Caenorhabditis elegans: one gene and its partners. The protein of the gene in region 4 purifies or fractionates together with the protein of the main gene of each other region. This does not show direct contact. Each region holds a gene or a part of one and is shown on either strand. Other genes may lie near its edges.

The links.
Region 1: the proteins of atp-5 (region 4) and ech-6 purify together in Caenorhabditis elegans (affinity purification with mass spectrometry, with the first as the bait; one large-scale study listed by BioGRID). This does not show direct contact.
Region 2: the proteins of atp-5 (region 4) and F44E5.1 fractionate together in Caenorhabditis elegans (co-fractionation; one large-scale study listed by BioGRID). This does not show direct contact.
Region 3: the proteins of atp-5 (region 4) and rpl-31 fractionate together in Caenorhabditis elegans (co-fractionation; one large-scale study listed by BioGRID). This does not show direct contact.

What each region holds. Positions count from the first base shown.
Region 1 is NC_003281.10:9,751,052-9,754,515, reverse strand, and holds ech-6 (putative enoyl-CoA hydratase, mitochondrial), read left to right. Parts: upstream 1-1,632; 5' UTR 1,633-1,640; coding exon 1,641-1,943; intron 1,944-1,989; coding exon 1,990-2,200; intron 2,201-2,248; coding exon 2,249-2,547; intron 2,548-2,769; coding exon 2,770-2,823; 3' UTR 2,824-2,964; downstream 2,965-3,464. Other genes in the region: vps-53 (Vacuolar protein sorting-associated protein 53 homolog), read left to right, coding at 1-112, 320-688.
Region 2 is NC_003280.10:11,773,468-11,776,362, reverse strand, and holds F44E5.1 (ATP synthase subunit e, mitochondrial), read left to right. Parts: upstream 1-1,803; coding exon 1,804-1,962; intron 1,963-2,011; coding exon 2,012-2,089; 3' UTR 2,090-2,201; downstream 2,202-2,895. Other genes in the region: patr-1 (Protein PAT1 homolog 1), read left to right, coding at 1-104, 152-651, 703-1,036, 1,085-1,330; F44E5.15 (N-acetyltransferase domain-containing protein), read right to left, coding at 2,324-2,423, 2,471-2,547, 2,629-2,714, 2,762-2,895.
Region 3 is NC_003279.8:13,652,207-13,655,662, reverse strand, and holds rpl-31 (Large ribosomal subunit protein eL31), read left to right. Parts: upstream 1-1,958; 5' UTR 1,959-1,977; coding exon 1,978-2,072; intron 2,073-2,397; coding exon 2,398-2,671; 3' UTR 2,672-2,714; downstream 2,715-3,456. Other genes in the region: sac-2 (SAC domain-containing protein), read right to left, coding at 257-709, 766-1,428.
Region 4 is NC_003283.11:11,122,209-11,125,756, reverse strand, and holds atp-5 (ATP synthase subunit d, mitochondrial), read left to right. Parts: upstream 1-1,889; 5' UTR 1,890-1,891; coding exon 1,892-1,946; intron 1,947-2,033; coding exon 2,034-2,344; intron 2,345-2,389; coding exon 2,390-2,563; intron 2,564-2,607; coding exon 2,608-2,643; 3' UTR 2,644-2,856; downstream 2,857-3,548. Other genes in the region: strt-7 (Phosphatidylcholine transfer protein), read right to left, coding at 356-408, 455-493; lmtr-3 (Late endosomal/lysosomal adaptor and MAPK and MTOR activator 5), read right to left, coding at 899-1,143, 1,191-1,283, 1,348-1,447; mboa-2 (O-acyltransferase), read left to right, coding at 3,283-3,303, 3,349-3,461, 3,510-3,548.

The DNA of each region.
Region 1 (3,464 bases), on a different chromosome or scaffold from region 4:
AACATTTTTGCTCAGTGTACCATCAATTGATAGTATTATCAACTCAAAACCACCAACGGCATACGTTACCAGTGTGAATGCAGCTCTGACAAAAGCTGAAATGATTTTGAAAGTGAGACATTTTAGATTTTTTAAAGAGATCGAAAAATCAAAAAATCAAAAAACAAAATTCGGTTTTTAAACATGGGTTTTAATTTAAAAAAAAATTGTGAATTTTCCGGAAATTCGAAAGTCAAAATAAGTTTAGAAAGACCAAAATTTTAATTTGTTGTTTTCCATTTTTCCAAAAACGCGAAATTCAAAATAAATAATTTTTCAGGTAGTAATGTGCAGTTTGGAGACTGTCGATGAATTTGTTGAACAATATATTAAACTTCTACCAGCGTCGGATGCAGCAGAAATGCAAAAAGTTCTTGAAATGAAAGGAGTTAAACGACAAGAGCATTCGGCAGTTCTCAACGCTTATCGATTGAAAATCGGTGCATCTGGCTCGGATCCAATTCAACAATCGAATAGTCTAACTTCTCGGATTGGTGGAGCACTACCAACTGTTGGAAGTGCAGCATCTGTATCTGAAGCATTCAATGCAGTTGTATCAATGGCAGCAGATGGATTGTCTGATCAAGCAGTGACGTCATCAATTGATAAGCTTAAAAGATTCGAAAGACTAGTCAAACGACAATTGTGATTGTTGATCTACTACCAAAGAACGAAATTTATAATTTATTTACATAATTTTATTTGAAAGTTTCTCAGAATACTCATCGGAGTTTTGTATTTATTTATTTATTCATGTGAAATGTTTTAATAGTTGTGAATAAGATTTCTAATTCTTACTTTTTATACTTTTTGTTTTAATTTAATTTTTATGGGTTGTTCTCCGAAATTATTTGATTTTTTATTATGCAGTAACTCAAAGATACCGTATCCTCTCTCGCCACAAACGAAATATTTTGAAGCCGTGAAAAAAGGAATGCTCCTTTAAGTAGTACAGTAACCCACTCTCTGTTATCTCGCGCAGTTGTCTCTGCTTTCCCCTTTTTGTTGTAAAATTTTACCAATAAATAATTAGCATACCAAATTGGTCTGCTAATTATTCAGCATACCAAATTGGTCTAAATCTTCGGAATTTTATTTTTCATGTGTTTAGAAAATAAAAAACAATTATTTGGATCTAAAAAATTGCTATGTAAATTGCAATTATAGTACTCTTCAAATGCGCACATCTTTTTGTATTTCACACAAATTTGTCGTGTCGAGACCGGATATGGTTTCTTTTGGCAAAAATCTAAATTTTGCGTCTGTGTTATTTAATAACAATTATAATTGTTCCAAATTAGAGTCTTCTTGACGAAAAAACGTAAAAATTGGCACGTTTAGACACGTTGTATAACAACAAGAAAAACCTTTAAAAAGCAGTGTTTTCTTGTTTTTATTGTTGATTAGTTCATAGATCACAGTTCACACTGTGTGCTCTATCGTTCGTATATCTCTCACTGTCTGCGTCTATTTTCATATCTGTTTCGTTCACTTTTGCATCTTTTACAATTGTCTTCTTTTTCTTGAATACTTCCAATTTTCTTCTCATTTCTTAGTTATCAACATTTTCCAACTCAAGTTCTGAAATTTCAGAAATCAAGATGATGCGCTTCTCGTCGATGCTGGTTCGCAATGCCAAATTGTGTGCAAATGTCAACCAAATGCAAGTCGCCGCATTTTCAAGCAAAGCTCCTGAAATGATCAAGATCGAGAAAGTTGGAGAGAAGCAAAATGTTGCTCTTATCAAGCTGAATAGACCAAAAGCTTTGAATGCTTTGTGCGCTCAGCTTATGACTGAATTGGCTGATGCTCTCGAAGTTTTGGATACTGATAAGTCTGTCGGAGCAATTGTGATTACTGGAAGTGAGAGAGCTTTTGCCGCTGGAGCTGATATCAAGGAGATGGTTAGTCAGCGTATAATCCAATTTTTTAAAAATTATCGGATTTCAGACCAATAACGAGTTCGCCACCACATTTTCTGGAAGCTTCCTCTCCAACTGGACCGCTGTCAGTGATGTGAAAAAGCCAGTTATTGCTGCAGTGAACGGATTTGCATTGGGAGGTGGAAACGAGTTGGCAATGATGTGTGATATTATCTATGCCGGAGAGAAGGCTCGTTTTGGACAACCTGAAATTAACATTGGAACTATTCCAGGAGCAGGTAATTGACAATATTTTAAAATCAAATTTTTAAACGTCGATGATTCAGGAGGTACTCAGCGTTGGGCTCGCGCCGCCGGAAAATCATTTGCCATGGAGGTGTGCCTTACTGGAAACCACGTGACTGCTCAAGAAGCTAAGGAGCACGGTATTGTGAGCAAGATTTTCCCAGCTGATCAGGTTGTCGGGGAAGCTGTGAAACTTGGAGAGAAAATCGCTGATCAATCTCCACTGATTGTTCAAATGGCAAAGGAGGCCGTTAACAAAGCTTATGAGCTTACTCTTCAAGAGGGACTTCACTTCGAAAGACGACTTTTCCATGCCACTTTTGCCACCAAGGATAGAAAGGTAAATTATCAAAATGAATTTTTAAATTGCAATCTAGTTTTGTAGATAAATTATTTAAACTTATTTATTATTACGGTAGAAAAACTGCCAAATAAATACAGTGATCAAAATATTGTTCCAGTTTTTATTCCACCTTCTCTTAAAATGAAATAATCAGTTTCCTACCTAGTTTAGTATTTTTCTCGAAAACCTGATAAATTCCCCTTAAAAGATGTTTTTCAGGAAGGAATGACCGCTTTTGCCGAGAAGAGAAAGCCACAGTGGGAGTCGAAATAGATGCGCATCTACAGATAAGAGAAGAAGATGATTCAAAGTGCCTAGTTGAATTTCTTGTTTTATTATTTTTATTGTGTTTTGTATTTTTTCTGTATTTTACGGTTAGTTTCTTCTGCCATTGAAAATAAATATATATGTAAAGCTGCATCTTCACGATTTTCTGATTCCTTTTTTTTTGTAGTCAGTTTCGATTTTCCATATTTGTGATTTGTGATTGTTTATGTTTTTTTTTTGAAAAAAAAATCAATTAAACACTACAGAAACACTACACACTTGTATGCTGAATAATAGCATACCCACCTTGGGTCTGCTAAATATTAAATTTGTGATTTCTGATTGTTTATGTTGTTCGAAGAAAAAATCAATTAAACACTACAGAAACAGTGGACAGCGATGTGGCTTGACTGGTTCTTTCCCGTGAGTTTTGTAATATTTAATGGCCGGCAGGGAGCAACATCAAGCGGCAAAGTTTGAAAAATCTTCCCTATCACGATTTATTAAGTTCAGTTTCAGTTTCTACTGTACAAAAATGTTTTTATCTACTATACTAGTATATCATTACCTAACCACCAATTTTCGGCCGCCCTTTCTTAGTTTCTCTCAATCTCTTCTAATATTTTCTATATCTGATTACCTCTCTC
Region 2 (2,895 bases), on a different chromosome or scaffold from region 4:
TCGCTGGTTACATGTCTTACAAGGAACGTGAATGGCTCATTAGAATCCAATTTATTCAGTGTAAGGGTTCTGGTGATCCGCAAGTCGATGATTATTACTATGTGGTAGGCTTAAATATTCAGAGTGTTTTATTAAAATTAACATTTTAAAGACATGGCGTGATAAGCAAATAGCGAACGGGTGGACTGCCGAAACCAAGTTGGAAGAAGCTACTAAAGAGAAGAAAGAAAAGTCGTCCGAGTCACAGAAGGATTATCTTGAACGTATCAGTCGAATGAATTATCGAGAGATGCAGAAAGAGAGGGCTCGTGAACGTGACAAGGAACGACAAAGAGAACGTCAAGAACGAATTGATCGTGGAGAAGACAAAAAGTTGCGGCAGACACTTTCAGACAAATTTGCAACAAGTTTGGGTTTGCCATCAAAATCTTCTACCCACAACCCGCGCCATGTTCTCGATATGAAGGCTCAAGTAGAAAGCGTGGACAATCAAACAAAGAAGTTGTCGGACGAAGAAAGAAAAATCGCCGTTGCGAAGAAACTTCGTACGATGCTTCTACGTTTAGAAGGAGCATTGAACATTCTGATGGAGGTTGATGAGCTTCGACGATCATCGCTGCCTGAAAAGTCGCAGTTTAAAGACTTGAGCAGGTGTGTATATACTGTTTCTGAATATTTTTTTGTAAAATCTTATTATTTCAGCGATGAGAAAGACCAAGAAGTTGAGAAGCGTACGACAGTTATCATCAACGAATTAATGGGGGATGACTTGTCTAAACTCATGCAAATGTCCAAAGGAAGAGCAGTTATTACGAGAACTCTTAAAGTTGTTGAACCAAGAGACCAAGCAAGAATTATTCTTGCATTGATGACGGCTGGTGGACTTGTGAGCAAGAAGATGTATGGAGAGATCGTTCTGGACATTCTCCCAGTTGTTTATCAGAAAGTCTCAAATCTTCATCCCGACCAATTCAAGTATCTTGTTGGAGCTCTTAACTTGGATACTCTCAAGAGGCAACTTTTGGATAGTAACATGGTAACGATAATTTTTAGAAATTAATTAATTTTTTATTTTTGTTTTCAGTTCATCAGGGACATGATGATGACGTTGTTCTTTGTCAGTGTCAAGAATAATCAACAATTGGTGGAGTGGGCCAAAGCTACGAAGTTCTCCAGCTTAAAAATGCCTTCAAGTGCTCCACTCAGTATCTGGAGAAAGGCTCTCAGCGTCATTAGCGACAGCGAGATCAAAGAATTTGCCGATGATATCAAGTACTCAGGAATTGTCGATTGCCATGATGTCGCTCAACTAATCGAGCAATCACTCTAATTTATTTTAAACATCCTAACCAGAGAGATGACCTTATTGTGACATTTTCCTCTCAACCCCTAATTTTTTGCATTTCCCAAAATTGAACTCACCCCCAATGATCCCCCATACGGCCCTACTGAATCATTCCGTCCGTTTAGTATCACATTATCACTTTGTCTGTGAAACTTGATGTTGGTTCTTGTCACATGCTAACTTATCCCAAGCTCGATATTCGATATCATTATATATTGCGTAATATACGTGTCTAATATTCTCTCCTAATATTACTTTATTTAATATTGTATTAGGTAAAAAACATATATTGTAATCCCACCTCACAATTCTTATTTTGCCAAAGAAATATTCATAAATATTATTATTTATTCATTTATTTTAATGATGTCTTTGTCGAGTAATCGGTTTTCTTTCCGGTATTATTTTCTAAATTCTGTTCTCAATGTCAAAAATTGTTTCCAATCATTCCGTTTTAGATGGCAGACACCGTTCGTGGAATTTGGCAATCAATCGTCCAAACCAAGAGACTCTACCTCAACCCACACGAGCATTTCGGACGTGCCAACATCTGCCGTGCCGCCCTCTTGAGCTACGTTGGGATGTACTACATGTTCAAGTGGAACCAGAACAGAAAGGTAAAGCGTTTCCCTATTGTTATTCTCAAAAAAAATTGTTCATTTTCAGGCCGAAATTGCCCGCGCCGAGAGAAAAGCTGCCAAGGCCATCGCCAACGTCGCTGCTGCCGCCCCAGCTCATCACTAATTCAGTCGGATGCACCTAGATTTGGTTTAATTTTCTTTTATTGGACAATAGTTTTGTCCAGATTTGTCGGTTTATGTAATGCTATGTTCTTTTGAATAAACTACCCGATTCGAAAACGTTCGGCAAAATTATACAATATTCTGTGGATAAAATAAGGCAACTAGTTTATATTCAGGTTTTTCAGAAATTCTAGGATGTTCTGTTGAGAAATTGGAAAAAAAAAAATAATTTCACTTAGTGAGAAAATAATTTCCGAGTTTCAGGATCTTTAAACAATTCAACCATACTTTTGCTCACACGCTTAATATCGTCCTTCTTCATCTGATCATATGCTCTGAAATTTAAAAGTTAGTAAAAGGTGTCAAATGACAAATCCCGTACTTTCTGATGCAGAATGATCCATACTGACATTTATCTTTGTTATTCCAGATATTCGATAAACCAAGGAAGGAACCTTCCTGAAAAAAAGATGGCGATGAATTTAGGGTTCCGGTGAAAGTTCCAAGTTTAAGACATTTTTGTTATGGAAACTCGCTTACTATTTTATTGGTGAGGTCGTGTTTAGAGAGGGCCTTGATCATTGCAGCCTCTTTTATTTGTGCTACCGTACTCGACACGCCAACAACTAAATAATTAAGTTTGTAATCAGATTTCAACATTTCGAAAACAAACATATTTTTACGCATCCAATTTCTTGACCTGAGTTCCATATGCTAACGATGCTTCCACATTTTGAATCTATATAAGGATCATTTTCCTTCTGAAGTGCTTCTATGAAATGATGTAAAGATCGAAAGCCTGTTCCT
Region 3 (3,456 bases), on a different chromosome or scaffold from region 4:
ACTACAACGCTTACTTTTTGAAAATAGAGCCTTCTATAATGAAAAGTTTCAGGTTTTTAGAACAAAAATCGATTTTTCCAGCAAAATTTGTTATTTTTTCTGTCAAAAAAACTTGATTTTAGAAAAAATGTGAGTTTTTTTACTGGAAAATCAGAAAAAACATATGGGTGAGGCTCTCAAAATTTTGTAGTTTGTAGTGTGAAGCCCCACTCAATTCAATTTTATTCGAATTTTATTTTCAATCAAAAAATTTTACTTTTTGAAAATTAAGCCCTCTACAATGCTGATGCAAATCAAACGAGAAAAACGTGACGTCATTATCATCGGCCTTCACACAATGCTCCAGAAACCTCTGAGCCAGCGGAAGCTCTCTGCCACGTTGATCCACGAGGCTTACCGCCACAAGAGGAGTGTCGTAGTGGGCTTTAAGCCGTTTAAAATGCTCCGTGAACACGCCATGCGTCTCCTCCACAGATCTATTGATAATTAGCGGTGGGCGATACTTGAAGCCACGCTGAGACCAGAATACGGGAATCGAGCCGCGGCACTGCACAAAACTGAGCTCATGCTCGAAAATGTTCAAAATGAGCTCAGTTTCCACGAAGTTTGCCACGTTGGAAGCCTCGTCGATGCCACGTCGTAGGTAGCGGGCTCCCGCGCGGCGGGTAGATCGTCGGGAAATTATTGTGATTGTCAGATAGGCGTTTATCTGGAAATTTATTCAATAATCTAATTATTTAATTAATTTGTGGGATTTTTTAATACCTGATCCGTAATTTCCAGCTGACTTGTGGCCACATATCCTTGCATAATTGGGCATGTGAATTTATCGGAAATTTTGGCTTCTCCCAGGTTTCCCACCATCCTCTTATTCCAAAAAAACGAATCCTCCGACGTATGAGCCTCACGCTTCTCGAAATACTTTTGTGAGGATATTGTGACGTCACGGCTTCGACAAAAGTAGAAATCCTTCGAATCATTGAACAGCTTGAGCACATCATCCAGTAAAGCCGGACGGGGCTCGGCTTTTGTCACTTTTTCCGCGAAAAACTTCATTATTTTCTCGGTTCCTTGCTTTAATTTAGTGCCGGAGCCCGGGGTGATTTGAGATTTTATCACGGAGCCATCGGATTTCACATTTATCGCGATAACCCGCTCGATTCTCCGGATTGAATGGGAGCTCTCGGCTGACGTTCCTCTATAACACGCTACCACCGAACTATCGACGACGAAAAACAGAAAATGCTGCTCGTCAAACGATATTTTTCCGATCAAAAACTCGACGTTTCCGCACAAAACCACATCTTGATCGAGGATTTCCAGCGATTCTTCCGGTTTTTCCAGTACTTTCCCATTTCTGCGATCAAATTCCACACGTTCTCCTTGTTCTTCGAGTATTAAAGCTGTTGGTGTTGTGTAAATTATCATCTGAAAACAAAGCGATTTTTTTTTGAAGTCAAGAAGAAGTTGTAACTCACTTTTCCAGTAGTTTTCCGGCAATTTTCCACTATTTACTTTGTAATTCTAACACGCCGATTTCGGAAATCAGCAATTTAGCATTTGGAAATAAAAAATTTGGTCTTTGTTTGTACAAATCGTCCCGTTTTGTGAGTCATCTCGGCGAAAATAAACACAAAAGAAAAATAATGCAAGTATGCTCCGTTGAACTTTCTTAAAGGCGCATGGATTTATCTCGATGGGTCTCGCCACGATTAGGGAATTGCAATGGAGTTTTCCATTTTTATCCTAAAAATTTTTACGCTTTTCCAATGGAAATTTGTGATTTTTTCGTAAATTTTTATTTTTTTTCATTTAAAAAATATTTTTTCAATGTGTAAATCGTATAATTATCATGTTTTCTCTCTGAAATAAAGCTCCTACTATGATTTTTATGCATTTTTCCTTATAATTCTTGTGTTCTCAGTTTCTAGTTTAATTTTAAAATTAAGATTTTTCAGGTAATCCAGTCAAGTCGCGATGGCTCCAAAGAACGAGAAGAAGTCCCGCAGCACCATCAACGAGGTCGTCACCCGTGAATACACCATTCACATCCACGCCCGCATCAGAGGAATGTAAGTTTACACTATTTTCCATCTTTCGCTCAAATTTCCTGCTCACATGCTAACACGTGCTCCACCTGGAAGCGGTGTGTTGGCCCACGCCTGTCATCGCAGCTCTTTAATGAGCAGGTTCTAGCCCGAACCGCGGTGGCCGGACTAACGGAGCTTACCCGCCTCGTTTTCTGGTGAGTGGCTCTCTCCAGAAACGCCGTTCGTTTCTCATTCGAGAATCGGACGGAGATCTCAGGGGCATCCTCAAATTCGGTTGAAATATAGCGGGAAATCAGAGGTAAAAATGATGATTTTGCGAAGTTCTTATCCAATAATGCGTTTTCAGCGGATCCAAGAAGCGTGCTCCACGTGCCATCGACGAGATCAAGAAGTTCGCCAAGATCCAGATGAAGACCAACGATGTGCGTGTCGACACCAAGCTCAACAAGTTCATCTGGTCCAAGGGAATCAAGAACGTTCCATACAGAGTTCGTGTCCGTCTCTCCCGCCGCCGTAACGAGGATGAGGACTCCGCTCAAAAGCTCTACACCCTCTGCACCTACGTTCCATGCACCAACTTCCACGGACTCACCAACGTCAACGTTGACAGCGAGGAATAAGTATTGTTGATTCAATAAAATTGTTGTTACCTTTAATAAAAAAGGTTTTGATTTTCGAGGTTGGGGGAGAACAGAAGCTGTTTCAGAGGTTGCTTTCACTCGAATTTTCTGTCGTTTTTCCCTTGAAAACAGTATTTCTCCTTCGAAAAGGCTCTAGTACGGATTCCTAGTAGTGGGATTTTCAATCGATTCTCGAATATTTGCAGCCACGTGGTCAGATTTGTCTGCTTTAGAGTCCTCATTCAGATTTTTTAAAAAAGTTTCGAATGCTCTCATTTATTCAAACAAAGAATAATCAGTCCTTATCAACCTTGCACGTGGCAACTGGAGCCTTGATGGTAACGTGATCGGCAGAGGCGATGAAGATTTGGAGAAGGATCTGGAATGTTCTAGGTTTACACAAATCCTGAAGAAATTGAAACTTACAGCGATGAGGACGAAGACACGACGGAACATGTTGAGGAAGTGGTGGATGATGGATTTTCGGACAAAAACTGGGAATCTTTTATACTGGAACGTTTATTGCACCCGCGGGGTGCTAAACCATTCGTTTTTTGCATACTTTTTTAGGGGGTTTTTGCAATTTCTAGCGTTTGCAGTTCAGGTCGAAGATCGGAAGTTCAGTTGGAAAAGCTGGAAATTTCATGGTTTTTGAAAGAAATAAAAGCAAAAAAAAAAGAAACGTTTCTGCAAAAATCCACGTCATAAAAAATTTATGACGTGGATTTTCTTACCGCAATTATTCAGAAGCAGGATTTTTTGTGAGAAATGTTGATTTTCAGGTT
Region 4 (3,548 bases):
AAATGGTTTTTATTTTGGTTGTTTTAAAAAATTTTAATTTTTTAGACATGTTTGAAGCGAAAAAAAAAGTTTTATTTTTGGTTTTTATTTTTTTTATTGAAAAAATTGAATTTTCGAATTTTGGACTAAAATCTACGCTTTTTTTTCATATTTTACAAATCTTCTTAAGCAAAATATGTTTTAATGGTTTTCAATGATTTTTTCTAAAAGTTCAAAATAAATCGAAAATCGACTTTTTTTGGGTTTTATGGTCACAAATTCCAATTTGTAGTTCTTGGTCCAAAATCAAAATCTGTTTTTTTGTTTTTTGGTAAGACTTTTTTGGTCCTACTTCACTCCATAATAGTTGACTTACGCTTTCGTCTTGAATCGTGACCAATTTTGACGGAAGTTTCGATACAGTGCAACCTAAACGTATTATAATTGAACACACTTCAATCAAAATATTGTTTACCTGTTTAAACAAAAAACTGCTCCAATTTCTGTTCAGCATATCTTTGTTTGATAAGACTTACTTTATTGCATTCGAGTAAATCTAAAAGAAATGATTGAAAAATGATTTTGATCAGTACGGTCAGTGAAAAAAAAACGATCAGAGTGATTGATCTATGCTATAGTCAGTTCACGTTAGAGATGTATAAAATAGATAGTTTTTGGCAGAAACCAACGAGAAAACAGGCATGTTCTGTAACCACGGATCTTTCAATTTAATTTTATTCTTGATGAGAATCAATAGAAAACTGGGAAGGTTTTTACAGGAAATACGGTTATTGGGTATGATAATTTGAAAACAAGAAAAGTTAGATTGGTTTTTTAAGATTGGCATGAACTTGAAAAGCTGAGTAAAGATATCGAATCATGGAATCACAGGAAAATGAGAGCAGCCACCACATAATTATTAGTCGAAATCTGGGGGAGGTGCAGCTGCAGAAGGGTACGATGGTGGTGGTAAAAGAGCATCTCCATCAATTGGTGGGCAAAGTGACATCATATGACTGCCGATGGGAAATAATTTCTCACGCAAAGAGAGCATGGCGCCAGTGTTCGTGTTGGTTCCAGCGTGAACAATGAAATAATACTTGTCAATAGAATGAACAGCAATTTGGTGGGACTCGTACAATGCAAAGGTTGTTTGATGACCTCCTAAAACATAACTGAGTAGAAATAAAAATGAGAAGTCAATAACTAACCCATGTCGAGTTTGTGAATTTGAGGGATTGTTGTCACGTGACTGACAATCAGCTGTTGCCTGAATCTAGAATTATCCAATGTCGATGGAAGACCTGAAAAATGGTTATATTTTTAAAGTTTATATTAATTATTGGTTTTATTGATGAAAATACTTACCGATATTCAGAATGAGACCTCCATCGTGATCAGTGATGAAGATTGCGCAGACCCCCTCATAGGTAAGCATAAGCTCTTCGAGCTCTTGTTGGACGTTCATCATTTTACTGAAACAATGTCTTTTTTGTTTTTTTTTTTAACTACAGATACCACTAAAATAATCAGCAACATAAGGAAAATTCTTGAATTGATAAAATAAGAGTAAAAATCTGAAATCGGTTTTGGTGGCCGAGTTTTGTCCCGAGGGCCGATAAAAATGGCCGAGGAACCCGAGAAAACCGCGCCGCACTTTGCGTTTTCACGGGCGATAGACTCCACCCTTTTGAACAGAAAATACTATTTTTTGTGCTTTTCAGCTGTTTTAGCTTATTTTTCAGTTCATTCCGTTACTTAAAAATTGAAAACAACTCAAAATAGTTATTCTATGTTTCTTTGTTTGTGAACGATTCAATTTTCCTGCTAATTAAGCATATTTACTTTTTATTTTCAAAAATCGTTTTCCTGTTAATCTAAATAAGGTTAAAACATCACAATTTTTATAGGTATGTCTGGAGCCGCTAAGAGGGTAGCGACGTCTTCCGTGAACTGGTCGAAGCTCGGTAAGTTGTTTAAGTCACAAGTTACGGTATTTTACGTATGTAATAAATAACTTCTCCACAATTTAGTGTTTTAACTTTTAATTTCAGCCGAGCGTTTGGTCCCGGAACACGCCGCAGAACTCACCCGCGTGAAGGGAGTCAGTGGAACTTTCCAATCCGCTGTCAGCCAGCTCCCGGCCGATCTTCCCAAGATCGACTTTGCTGCTTTGAAGAAGGCCCTCCCGGCTCATTCGGCAGTTCTCGATTCTCTTCAAAAGCAGTATGAATCTGTAAAGATCCCATACGGAGAGGTTCCAGCCGAGTATTTGAAGGAAGTAGACCAATGGGTTGATTACAACAACGCCCGTATTAAGCTTCATGAGGTCAAGGTCGCTGATGGACTTCAGGAGGCCAAGAAGGTTATTACTTTTATTTCGAAAAGATTTTTAATATTCTTTTTCCAGGTGGAGGAAAAGTGGGCCAAGGCTCCACCAGTTGAACATTTCGATCGTCAGCATTTCGTCGAGTATTTCCCAGCTCATTTCTATGATCTTCGCTACCAGAACAGAATTCCTGATCCATGCAACATCGGACTCAACGAGACTCCAGAAATTGAGAACAGATTCAAGGACTACAAGGTGGAGAAATTTACCAAATTATAGTCATATTTATTAATTTTCAGGTTCTTCGACGTGCCGACAAGGTTGACGACCATTAAACGATTTATCATGATGTACCGTTCAGTAGACAACTCTCGTTCTTCCTTATCGCTCTCCTACCATTTTTAAGACCATTTTGATTTGTTTTGTAGCCGTTTGTTTTATAATTTCGTCGAATTTTTTTATGTGCCTGGGAGCTTATGCAGTCGATACCCCCTTCTTCAGATTATGTATTTCATAAGAGTGATGGCAAGATAAAGAACTTTCGCATGTTTCCTTTATATTATATGAGAATTTCTTTGCAATTCGCGCGAAAAGAATCTGTTGGCATCATTGATTACCTTCGATGATCGGATTGAAGATATCAAAACAAGTTTTTTCTTTTCATGTTAAAACCAACTAATGAAGTTGAACGAATATTTCCATAGTTTCAATTAATGTCAGTGTATTATGTACATTGAATTCGGATTCCATGTAAAGATCAAGAATTGGCGTGAAGTGCACTATTGTTCTAAATAAGTGATAGATCACATTTAATCAAGAGGCGCCAGACGCGTTGTCTCTTATCTTGATTCGATAAATATGAAACAAACAGACGGAGGCACGACAGGCCTGACTTGTTATTCTTTTCCGAAATTTTTTTGCAGTTTCTTGATTCTTCTACATTTAAGAATTTCAGGGTTACCTAAGTATTTCTGATGCAAATGCGTCAACAAACGGTTAGTTTTATTATTTTCTAAAGTTTTTTTAAAAACTAAATTCAGGGACGACGGCGGCGTCAGCCTTCGGAAACATCTAATGGTTCTTTGGCTTCCAGTAGACGCTCCTCATTTGCACAAAATGGTAATTCGTCAAGGAAAAGTTCAGAAATGAGAGGGTATAGAAAAAAGCTTTAAACTTGTGTGAATAACTATTTCATTTTTGGACCTTGCGAGAAAGTGGTACATACTGCTCAAGATTCATT